Styela clava: one gene and its partners. The protein of the gene in region 3 purifies or fractionates together with the protein of the main gene of each other region. This does not show direct contact. Links are inferred from orthologs where the notes say so. Each region holds a gene or a part of one and is shown on either strand. Other genes may lie near its edges. The genes, in order: sec1 family domain-containing protein 1-like, gamma-soluble NSF attachment protein-like and vesicle-fusing ATPase-like.

What was found.
Region 1: the proteins of vesicle-fusing ATPase-like (region 3) and sec1 family domain-containing protein 1-like purify together in Homo sapiens (affinity purification with mass spectrometry; 3 studies listed by BioGRID and IntAct, with this or other methods). This does not show direct contact. The link is inferred for Styela clava from reciprocal best matches to the Homo sapiens genes NSF and SCFD1.
Region 2: the proteins of vesicle-fusing ATPase-like (region 3) and gamma-soluble NSF attachment protein-like purify together in Homo sapiens (affinity purification with mass spectrometry; 3 studies listed by BioGRID and IntAct, with this or other methods). This does not show direct contact. The link is inferred for Styela clava from reciprocal best matches to the Homo sapiens genes NSF and NAPG.

What each region holds. Positions count from the first base shown.
Region 1 is NC_135251.1:11,552,463-11,556,220, reverse strand, and holds the start of sec1 family domain-containing protein 1-like, read left to right. Parts: upstream 1-917; 5' UTR 918-1,098; coding exon 1,099-1,129; intron 1,130-1,944; coding exon 1,945-2,104; intron 2,105-2,355; coding exon 2,356-2,446; intron 2,447-2,784; coding exon 2,785-2,880; intron 2,881-3,317; coding exon 3,318-3,432; intron 3,433-3,711; coding exon 3,712-3,758. UniProt on the Homo sapiens protein: Plays a role in SNARE-pin assembly and Golgi-to-ER retrograde transport via its interaction with COG4. Involved in vesicular transport between the endoplasmic reticulum and the Golgi.
Region 2 is NC_135250.1:29,671,994-29,675,751, forward strand, and holds the start of gamma-soluble NSF attachment protein-like, read right to left. Parts: upstream 2,377-3,758; 5' UTR 2,278-2,376; coding exon 2,123-2,277; intron 177-2,122; coding exon 43-176; intron 1-42. Other genes in the region: uncharacterized protein LOC120334755, read left to right, coding at 3,609-3,758. UniProt on the Homo sapiens protein: Required for vesicular transport between the endoplasmic reticulum and the Golgi apparatus.
Region 3 is NC_135262.1:1,426,325-1,430,082, forward strand, and holds the start of vesicle-fusing ATPase-like, read right to left. Parts: upstream 2,244-3,758; 5' UTR 2,208-2,243; coding exon 1,971-2,207; intron 1,160-1,970; coding exon 1,075-1,159; intron 585-1,074; coding exon 415-584; intron 1-414.

The DNA of each region.
Region 1 (3,758 bases), on a different chromosome or scaffold from region 3:
CCCTAAAAACTCTCGGACATAAGCTAAAACAACGCTTTTATTTATTTCGTCAAAAAGCATAACACGTCGCTATTAATGGTAACCTAAAATTTGCCGTTTATCTTGATCACTTTAATTTTTTTCATACGTGCTTCCTCTTCTGCCCTTTCTTTGCGTTTCTGTGCGCCACTGAGAGGTTTTGCTTTCGACATCATTCTGACAACCTTTCTAACTTTGCCGGTGCGATCAAACCACAAAACGCCGAAAATCGACGACTCCCTGGCATTGTTACGTACCAAAATGTTTTGAGCAGAACTAACATCAACGTTTTAAAATGTGCATTACTGGTTTTGCAATGCAGCTTTTGGTTTTACGGCTTAAATTTCTAAATTCTAATTTCTAACCGCTTAGGCCCCTTTGCGCTGTGGGCCCTCCCGCGACCGCGGGGGTTGCGGGGGTGGATGCTACGCCACTGCCCGCCAGTCTAGGTGGGCAAAATTCCTGGCCCCTTGTTCAAAAACCTTGCCCACCCCTGTACCATCAAGTTCATGTGTCTGAAATAAATAAACGGTCCACTATCCCATATCCGACATGAGCTGATAGGCCGTGGCTTATCTCGTCCTATCGGTTTTCCTCTCTCCCACGATAAATAGAAAAATTCCATCCTAATTACGATATATTAAATGTTTGTGCCCACTAGGTTTAAAATAGAGCAATATTGACGTTGAAAAATCCGTGTTCCCCTTAATATTTTATATCATAGCTTTTGAATAAAAAGCACCATTTTTAATTAATGGAAAAATTTAAGACCTCTATAGTCAGACTTATTCAATTTATTTGCAAAACTTTTAAAAACATGAATATTTTTCTTTAAGCTCCGAACATATTATTTTTACAGGGAGCACTTGTTAGCGTGGAAGAGCTGACGAGTCAGGCACAGTGGTTTACTACTACAGTTCCCATGTTATGTAGCTTAGCTTAATCCTGTAATCGCATTTTACTTTGATGTTATGTGTTTTGGATTGATCTGCTAGCCCGTTATTTGCTTCATGGGTTTTCGTGGATAGAAGGAGATTGTCTTTGAGTTGTTCTTTAATTTTCTAATCCTATTCAGCAAGAATGGCTGCCTCTATACGAGAACGGCAAGCAGGTATGATATATTTCTGTATTTTTACAATTCCGTGTTCCGATAAAGAGATGTCTAGGCTATATTGTTTCTTTGAACCTACAGTATCGTCATTTCTCATTTTGAGATAGGACTTTCGTATTTCAGTACCATAACCCTTTTCTGCCTTTCCAGATGAGAAAGAAATTATGGAATGGTAAAGTCTGAAAGTTGATGTGCTTTTCACAGTTTTATGGGCGCATGTTCACAAAAGGCATAAATATTCTAGTTGGCGTGGCACAAACATTTTTACTTATGTTATTCCAACCCCCTACCCGACTACGTCACAATCACGTCATAGAGCTTGCCAAAAAAAAGCTAGGTCACCTGAAAACGCATCTCTGATAATGATAACGAACTCGCTAACGCCATCGGATCTCCCTCATATCAGGATCGTTAGGACTGTAGGACGAGAAAACAAGAGAAATAGCTTGCTTGATTTTGAGTGATCGTCTGCGCGTTTTAGATGACAATCTGTATACTTTGACGGGCCTTATTTCGTCACTGTGACGTTGTAGTGGCTTAATTTTGTGATGGCGTAGTCAGGCGAGGGTCAAAAATGACATTTGCGAAAATGGTTATGCCACGCCAACTAGAAGTACTTGACGGCGTTTAGTGAACTTGCCTCTTTTTTTGCGTCCTATCATTGAATTTGGTTTTGAAAGCTTTTACGATGAGCAACCATTTATAAATAAAAAAATTTTCCCCAAAATTCTGAATATATTTTCAGTTGATGCTTTTACAAGACCTCGTTCACAGCGAAAGGCAAATAACTCGGTATAAATTCATGTTAATTTTAGTTGCCATCAAGAGAATGCTACATTTTGGAAATCCAGTAACTAAAGCATCAAGTATGGAACCAGAATGGAAAGTCTTGATTTATGATAGATTCGGTCAAGATATTATTTCACCTTTATTATCTGTTAGTGAATTGAGAGACATGGGAGTTACATTATACTTGTAAGTAAAACTATTGTTTAAAGGCATCTATTTTAGGACAAATTTTATGTACAGCTTTGAGAAAGTTTGATTATTGCAACTTCGATCAATGATGGCTCATAACTTAACTACTATACATCGATTTTTTATTAATTGGAATGACTTTATTTTTAATATAGCTTTGCATAATTTATTTCACGATCGAATTGAGGGCATAAAATTGATGGCAAGTTGCAAATCAAGTATAACTCTATTAATATTTTTTTATTCAGGTCTCTTCATAGTGACAGAGATCCAGTACCAGACGTTCCTGCCATATATTTTATTTTACCAACAGATGAAAATATAACAAGAATGTGTCGGGTAATGTTTGAAGGAATTTGTAACATTGGCTGACAATTTTCTTATGTTTTCAAAAAAACACAGCTGCCGAGTTTGTAATGAATGATAGCTTTGTGATTATTCTTTTGTTAGTTTATCATAGTTTGGGTGGACAAGTTGTGGGGGCTAACAGGGATCAATTCCAAGACATATCCTGTTATGGTAATATGTACCACTCTGTAGGGCATTTAGCCCTAGTCACCAGATATTAATATACAGTGTTGAGTGTGACAGTTTTATATACAGTCAAGTTATTAATTTGAGAATGGTTTGCTATTTGGTTATTTAGTGACTGTTTATGTTTTCTGTTCTTTTTACAGGATATGCAAAATGAGCTTTATGAAGGATATTACTTTAATTTTATATCCGCTATTCCGAGACATAAATTAGAAGATCTTGCGAGTGCTGCTGTATTAGTAAGTTATTGTTGTAAGAATTGTAATTTGGACAATGAAGCAGAATTCTGTTAAAAGTTCTTGGTCTGTCAACTTGAATTGAATCACAAATGACAAATGGAAATATTAGACATCTTTGTTGATGACGTCTTTGCTGGTGCATGATTAGAATTTAACACTATGCTAAAAGTTTTTACTAAGAATTAATGCCTTGAAAAATTTTTTTTTCGTCTATCGTTTTTCCCTGGCAATGTTGACTTGAATTCAAGGTCTCATGTCAACCATTATATATTGGAAATAAGCTTATTTATAGCTCTTACTGTGTTAGTGGTCAGTGGCAAAATATATAATGCACATCAACATATTTAATAAACATTACCAATTTTTTCATCATAGTTCCTATTTTAGTTACATTAATGTGTTAAACATTTTATAACCATACTCTCCCTTTTTTTAAGGCGAATGCAGAATCTTATGTTACTAAAGTTTTCGATCAATATTTAAATTTCATCAGTCTCGAAGATAACATGTTTCTTTTGAGAAATCAAAACAAAGATGCAATTTCATATTACAGTAGGTTTCTTTTTAGTTCAATCAATTGTCTTTTTCTAAAAATATTGAATTTATGCTTATTAAGTTAACCGTATTCAATTATACATTTGGTGATTTTTACATGCAGTTTATTGGCTTCAGCTTTGTAGTTGTTATTTAATTTAGATATTATTAAGTCAGAGTTTACAAACTCACTGTTTTCAACGCAGTTATATAGCATCTCTTGGAATACGAATGACTAAAAATGTTTGCTTCTGCAGTTATATACTGTTATAATGCCATCCATGATTATTGAAACAGGTATCAATAAAACTGCCATCAAAGACACAGAAATGATGAGCATAATT
Region 2 (3,758 bases), on a different chromosome or scaffold from region 3:
TGGAGCGCCAACAGCTCCCTGTAAAAAATAAAGTTACCGTGCCTTTATTATAGTCATTCAGTTCTCTGCAAGCATTCCCAGCTTCCTCGTATGCTTTTGCGGCATGGAATCTCGCTCCAAGCTTGTAATGAGCATCGGCTAATCTTTCATATGCAGCGTATGCTTTCTCATATTGCCTGAAACAAAGAGGATTAAATTTTCATCTGTATTTCTTCACGTAGAGAGGAAAAATCCAATATGACAACTCGAATGATCAAATTTACTGTTCTTTTTTATCATTTTTAAATTTTTCATTAATTTTTTAACATCACATTACAGTAGGGCACAGTTCTCCGATTCCAAGAATAGCCCCAACATTAAAAGACATCAATTATAACAGTGAGTGAAAACCAATCCTTTACAAGACGGTCTGGGCCTCCATATTGGCATGAACAGGCACTGTGCAATAAACTAAAAGGAAGCACAATCTTGGAACGTCAAAAATATAATCTCATTTATCAAAGACAAAAAAAATTTTACCGTAGCATTCGAGAGTTTTCAGCAAAAAAACACAATTTTGACCATGTGCCGGTCGACACAAGCCACAATTGATTTAAATCATTACTGAGACAAGCTTGGCATGATCTGACACAGATCTACTGTAGGGCCACACGCCCTCTTTTAGAGACAAAAGGAATGTTTGTTTAATTGAACCAAATGTCTGGACATCTTAGAATCAGAGAGCTGTGACCTACTGTATTGTTATTATTATTTTTAAACAACTGCTAAGGTTGCAAGGGATTGTGAAACAAAATCATAACTGTATGTATGTATGTATGTTTATTCGTCTCGTAAAAGCAATATAAAAGAGTAAGTAATTATAAATACTGAAGACGGGATGTATGCACAAGACCATATTGGCCTAAAACACAGATGTGCGGCATACACCCCTTTTGATATATATAAATTATAATAGGGTAAATCAAATATGTACAATATGGTCCTTTATACAGGCAGTTGTGCAAGGAGGGTGGGTGGATGCGGTAACAGGGATAAGGGTGGAGTGTACAAAACTGTTTGTACAAAGGAGTTTGTTAGACAAAACAACATCTATAAATAGAGACACAACACAACATGAAACACACTGCATATGAATATAGTAATAAAATTTTTTTTTTCTAAAAAATTTAAGAATTTGGATGAATGTACAACACCATTGAGTGATGATACCACATACTATAAAACGCGGGAATGGTTTAAAGGGTGTGTACATATATGGTATGCACCACTCAAGGGCGACAGTGTTATTATAACTACAGAACACAAACTGTCTTGTGGTCGGAAAAAGTCCGTCCGGCCTGAGTTTGTAAACTTGGCAAGACAGTAAAATCGGCAGATATTGAATTTGGAAACTATCGCTCAACTCTCAGACTCTTCTGTTCTTCAATAGTTTATTTTTAAAACTTTACTGTCAGTCTGTACGGTAGGTCTGTATTACACACAAATTAAACCTGTAATACTGAAATATGGAGAATTCTGGAGAGCGAGCAAAACCTTTACCGTAATAAAGTTTAAAAGAAATATGCTCGCTTCAGAAATATCCAGCACACACCAAACCAAATTAAAAAAAACACAATCCAAGTTGCACAAGGCTTGGGCAAGAAATAAACAAACAAAACTTTCAATTCTCCCCAATTTCATATTATAGGATAGGATAGGATTTACATATTTATCCCGGGGGAGAGGAAAGCCGATAAGATGGCTTATCCATATGGCGAACCACGGCCTCTCCTCCGGTTACCATTCCAAGGGTATGGGATTAGATTTACTGTATTTTTTTTTTTTTTTTTCGGAAGCATGGACTTGGTGGTGGAGGAAGCCGTAACTGACCAGCGGTTACGTGAACCACCCAACGACGGCGAGGAGTCCAGCAATCCTCCCGCACATAACCATCCCTGCATGGGATTCGAACCCGCGAACCCATGCATAGTAATTAGAGGTGCGGTGGCGAGCGTTTTCCTAACGCTTAGCCCGTTGAGCCACAGATTGGTATTCAGGTATTGTAGGCCTACCACTGCACCACTGAATTATTATTAAATTCCAAATACTACTGTTATATTTACAAAACCCCATCACAACTTACTTAGCAAGCTTGAAGGCGAGCCCAGCATTCTGAAACGAAGCTGCTGCGCTGTCATAATCAGGTCTCCACTTGAAAAATCCCGTTTTTAAATGTTTTTCTGCTTCTTCCATATGCTGCAAACCTTCTTGGAGCTTTTTCGCCGCTCTATCAGTCATTATTTAGCTTTCTAGGAACCTAATTCTGGAAAAATCTATCAAAATAATCTTCCTAAACTGCGCTATCGCACTACAGACAGACAACCAATTCTACATGAACAAAAATCGATTCCGTGTTTTGTCAACAACTGGACATAATTTCCATGCAGATAAATTAGGTGCGCACTTTAATGTTATATTGTCAAGAAAAACCTCTGATTAAATTTACATTAATTTCATTTAGTGCACACTGATTTTAGGTGGGTGATATTGGAATTACTTAAAAAATTGCTAGACGTCGATCGACAATGTCTTGTTATTGGAAAATTAGTCGTTCTTGGAAAACTATGAAATGAAATGGCGTATTGTGCTGACAAATAGTCATGTGATTTGTAAATATTGCAAAATTGTGTCGTATGAACATTTCACGTACAACTATCCTTAAAATCTGAATTTCCCCGAAAGCAAACAGTTCCCAACTTTCTGAACTCTAGTATATTTTCATTAAATGGGGAATTTGACGCCAAGGGTGTGGCTGTTCAACACCGATTAATCTCAATTACCAATATTCATATTGCTTAGACGTGAGTCTATTCTGTAGTAACTTTCACTACATTATCCGAGGAGAAAGAAAATCCGATTTGCGGTTTAATAATATAACAAACCACGTCTTCTAATTTGTTTACTTGTCTAGTTAGAGTGGGAAAATACCTAAACATTTAATTGTTAAACATCGTTTGAGGCGGGTGATACTGGATCGCGTGGAAATACTTAACGTTTACATAATCCCTGAGTCGGCCGAAATGTTGTGGCATACAAATACGGGATTGTGGACATGGGAATGCGATTGCGAGCGTATTTATAAACTGGAGGCGGATGTGATAAATGTGCGCTTTGAAAGATATTCAATTTTAAAAAACATTCTAAATCTCGCACATATCAGTTCGCGCGGCTTATTTCACTGCCAAGGAAGAGATTGTTGATTTTTGCACTACTATACTTATTTTATTGTAAATTTTGATGCGGATCCTTGTAGTTCAGTTTAATATTGTTTTAAAATAGCGATATTTTACAACATGAAAAAATATACTTGTCTTTGACTATGACTAGCGAGTTATTTACATAAAAAATATTTTGAAAATGGTTGGTGTCGCTGTTGTCGTCATCACTTGCAGGTGCATAGAGCAACAATGGCCGCGGAACTCGCTTTTCTGTCGAAGGGGTTTTCGGAGGCGTATACGTTCATTCGTCGCTTCTTTTGCGTTCTTTTCGCTTGCTTATATTGACATTACTTATTTGAGTTTTTATATCATGGTAGTAACTCATTGCTTTTATTTCAGATTATTTACTCAATGTATAATAGATCACCTAAAAATATGGCAGGGAACAAGCGCGGAGGCGGAAGATTTTATAATAATCACAATCGAAATCACAACCAAGGAAACAACAGAGTAAAAATGGAGTCGTCTCCACAGAAACATTCAACACCGCCGCCACCTAAA
Region 3 (3,758 bases):
ATAACCAAAGTATTCAAATTTTCTGCATGCGTGATATAATTATGTATCAGCAAATATATTTTATAAAATTTCAGAGGGGCAGAGATGGAGTAACATTATATTTGAAAAAAATCATGTACGTTTAGTATATTTGATTCTTTTCGGACCCCCAAAGTATTCAAATTTATTTAGCATGCATGATATACCTGGATATAAAGGAATATTTTTTAAAAAATTTTAGGGGGTAGAAAAGATGTAACACTATATTTGTAAAAAAAATCATGTACATTTAGTATATTCGATTCCTTTCGGACCCCTAGAGTATTCAAATTTTTTTCGAATGTGTGATATCACTAGGTATCTGCAAATAAATTTTATAAAATTTTTCAGGGGTAACACTATAATTAAAAAAAAAATCATGTCAGTTCGACTCACCTGAAAAATTCCACCATGGTGATCATTGGCAGCAGTTTTAATATCTTTAACCGAAATTGCGTAATGTATGCCGGCAAAACTGAACAGCAACGTTTCACCAAGAACAAACCACCGAAGCGCGAAGTCATGCTTGAGTTGTTCTACCATGTGATCTGTGTTGACTGGATCATCTGAAAGAAATTGATGTTGGAATAAGACTGCCTGTCCACTGACAGAGTAGGCTAGGCTATAATTTTCACAAAACTAATGTCTTCCCAACATACCGTATATAAGCAGACCTCCTAAAAATGACCCCAAAACGGTGAATTTATAAAAATTTGCATATAAGCGGATCCTACAAATCGTACGCTTTTATTGTGAGGACTTTCATAGTTCGAGTTGTTGAAATTAAGTTAGCATGATGTCATTTTGTTTGAGTGCGATCAGAGTTTGACAGCTTAGTTTTGAAATTGGATTATATACGGTGAATATTTGACGGGCAAAACCCCAATTTCGGATATCAAATAAGTTGTGAAGCGCTGGGTAACGCAGAATACACCATAAAATTATCATCGACCAATGAGAGGCGATTGCTGACTTTCGCTGTGCACCCAAACTGAAGAGCAACACAATCCAAAACCATGCAGTACTCAAATAGATTCTCCAGACTGTTAAACTTACTTGTGACTTCTCTTGATTTATAAAAATCCACTTCAAGGATGGTTTCAACTATTTCATCCTGCTTTGTGGGGAAGAATTTTTCAACCTGTCATAAGAAATGAAATTTAGCATTTCTTAGGTGGTGTTTTTTACACTGAACAAGGCTATGTAATAGCATCTACTGATACATCAAATTTGGATACTATTCTCAGAGAGATGGACACCACTCTGGTTCGTCATTGGCTGCCCAATTCATTACATCTAGGGTGGCGAGGTCGTGGGGAAGCCCCTCAAGTAAAAAACGAGAATATCGGTCAGAGACCGAAGACTTATCGATCGAAAGTTAGGGGATCCTCAAAACAGCGCTCTTATTCCATAGTGACACCTTGTGCTTCATTCGAGTGAAAACTACTATCTTTTTTTAAAGATCATAAGAACCTAAATGTTGTTTGGAAGAGGCCATGATCATGAAAGTTTGATAGCAAGTAGCACCTCCCACTTGTTTATAATAAAGGCATGAACAAATTTTACAATAAATCAAATTGGTTATTAATATTGGGTCTAGTGTAGTACTTCCAGTGCGCTTGTCAATATTTGTTATTCCTATTTGGGGTTATTCCTTACTCCCACCTGACTACGCCATCTATGAATTGCGCGACTACGGCCTCACAATCATGTAACATAGCTTGCCAATATGAGCCGCCGATAAGAAATTCACAACGCCAGTGATCTCTCTCATATTGGGATCGCTAAGACGAGAAAAATAGCTTGCTGACTTAGGGTAATGGTCTGTGCGTTTGGGACGACTATGCATGTATTTTTGCGGGCCTTATTATGTCACTGTTACATCATAGTGACATGATTTTTGGATGACGTAGACGAAATTTAACCATCACGAAAAATATAATCATAAATACCTGAACTTCTTGGTTAATCCCAACGTAGGCCCATTTTCTTTGAATCATTGAAAATCCAATATATTTATCCTGTACTTGACGATCAGGGAGGCAAGTGAAATCGTACACCTGACCTCGATTACAAAACCTGATGTATTTATATCCATTTTGAAAATCCTGCGGACTCACGATGACTTTGTTTTTTAACGAAAGATCATTACTAGGACATTTTGTGACTCTGAAAGCTTCTGTGGACATTTTTACTATAATTTATTATGTAATATTTTTTTGATGAGCCTTGAATGAAAGAAAATAATAATTCAATACTTAATAAGAACAAAGTCTGTTCATACCAGACATCAGCACTTCGTAAACTGTTAGTTTGTGTGCGCGGAACTATTCGGGGAAAAAAAATCACGATGTACTTACACCAAAAAAAATTGCTGCCTCAAAATAGAACTCAATTTTGTGATCATTGATGTGTACTTTATTTATGCTTTTTCAAGTTTGTAAACATGTAGGCCTAAAGAGTAAAGGCAATTCTGCATTTCTGCCTGATTTTCCTTTGAAATACTGAAAATAACATGCATGTTCGTTAAACTTGGTAACGCAAATAAATAAACTGTAGCAGGTAGTGTCTACCAAAATTTCCAAATTCCAAGAATGTCCCATCATTTGGTCTAATAAAACAAACACTCCCATGTCTCTCCCAAACAAGGGGTGTCTGGCACGACATCAGATGCATCATATTGCGCGATGCTTGTCTCAATAATAATCTAAATCGTGGCTGTCACATGACCAAAATTGTCGTTTTTAGCTAAAATCTCTCAAATGCCATGGTAGAAATTTTTTTCCTCCAATAAATTAGATTATTTTTTCCAGAGGAATTCAATGATGACGTTTTTAGATAGCGCTTCTTTGTAGTTTTTTATACAACTTCATTTTACTGTATTTTTACCGATATTGAGGAACAACAATGGCCAGACGTCCCCGAAAGGAGGGGTGTTTGTTCATTGGCAAAATGGAATTCTCTAAAATGAGACAATGCCTCTCGATCTGTATAGTGTGCCGTACTGTACCGTACTCACTGTTATAATTGATGTCTTTCAATGTGGAGCCTATGTTTGGAATCTACTGGCTATGTTTGGAATCTGTTCTGACTATCTACTAACACAGGTATAAAAAAGAGAGAATTCTAAAAAGAAGAAAAACTACTAACAGCCTACAATTTAAATCTCAAAAGCCCACTCATAAAATACCGGTACAGTTCTAGGTATTCTTTGCAATCTTAACTAATAAAAACTAACAACCACGTCAATAATTCTCGGGATAAAATATGAGATTCCCATTCATCAATAATAAAAACTACAACGCCATATGCTGTTACTGTCTTACGATCAATATCACGCAAAGCGAGTTTTATTGAGTTGTCCTTTCACTACAACTTGATTATGCGTTTTGTTATCTTTCTGTCATTTGAATCCTGTTTTTATCTTCGGTTTTATCATTCACTTTTTTGCGGCGAATTATTCTAACGCCAAACGGAACTTTCGTATTGAGATTTTAAAATCTAATTGTCGCAATACATACAGTACGGTAGTTTTTTGATTCCACGTTTTGTTGTTTAAATTTAAATGCCATTCCCACGATTATTTATTTTACCTCATACGTTTCGAATGTAGATAATGTACCCGCTGCGAGGTACAGTGAAATATGTTCCCGAATGTACCGGTAAACGCACGCACAATGCCGGAAAACTGGCAACATATTTATCGAGCCAGCACATCAAAAACACAGCGACGAAAATGA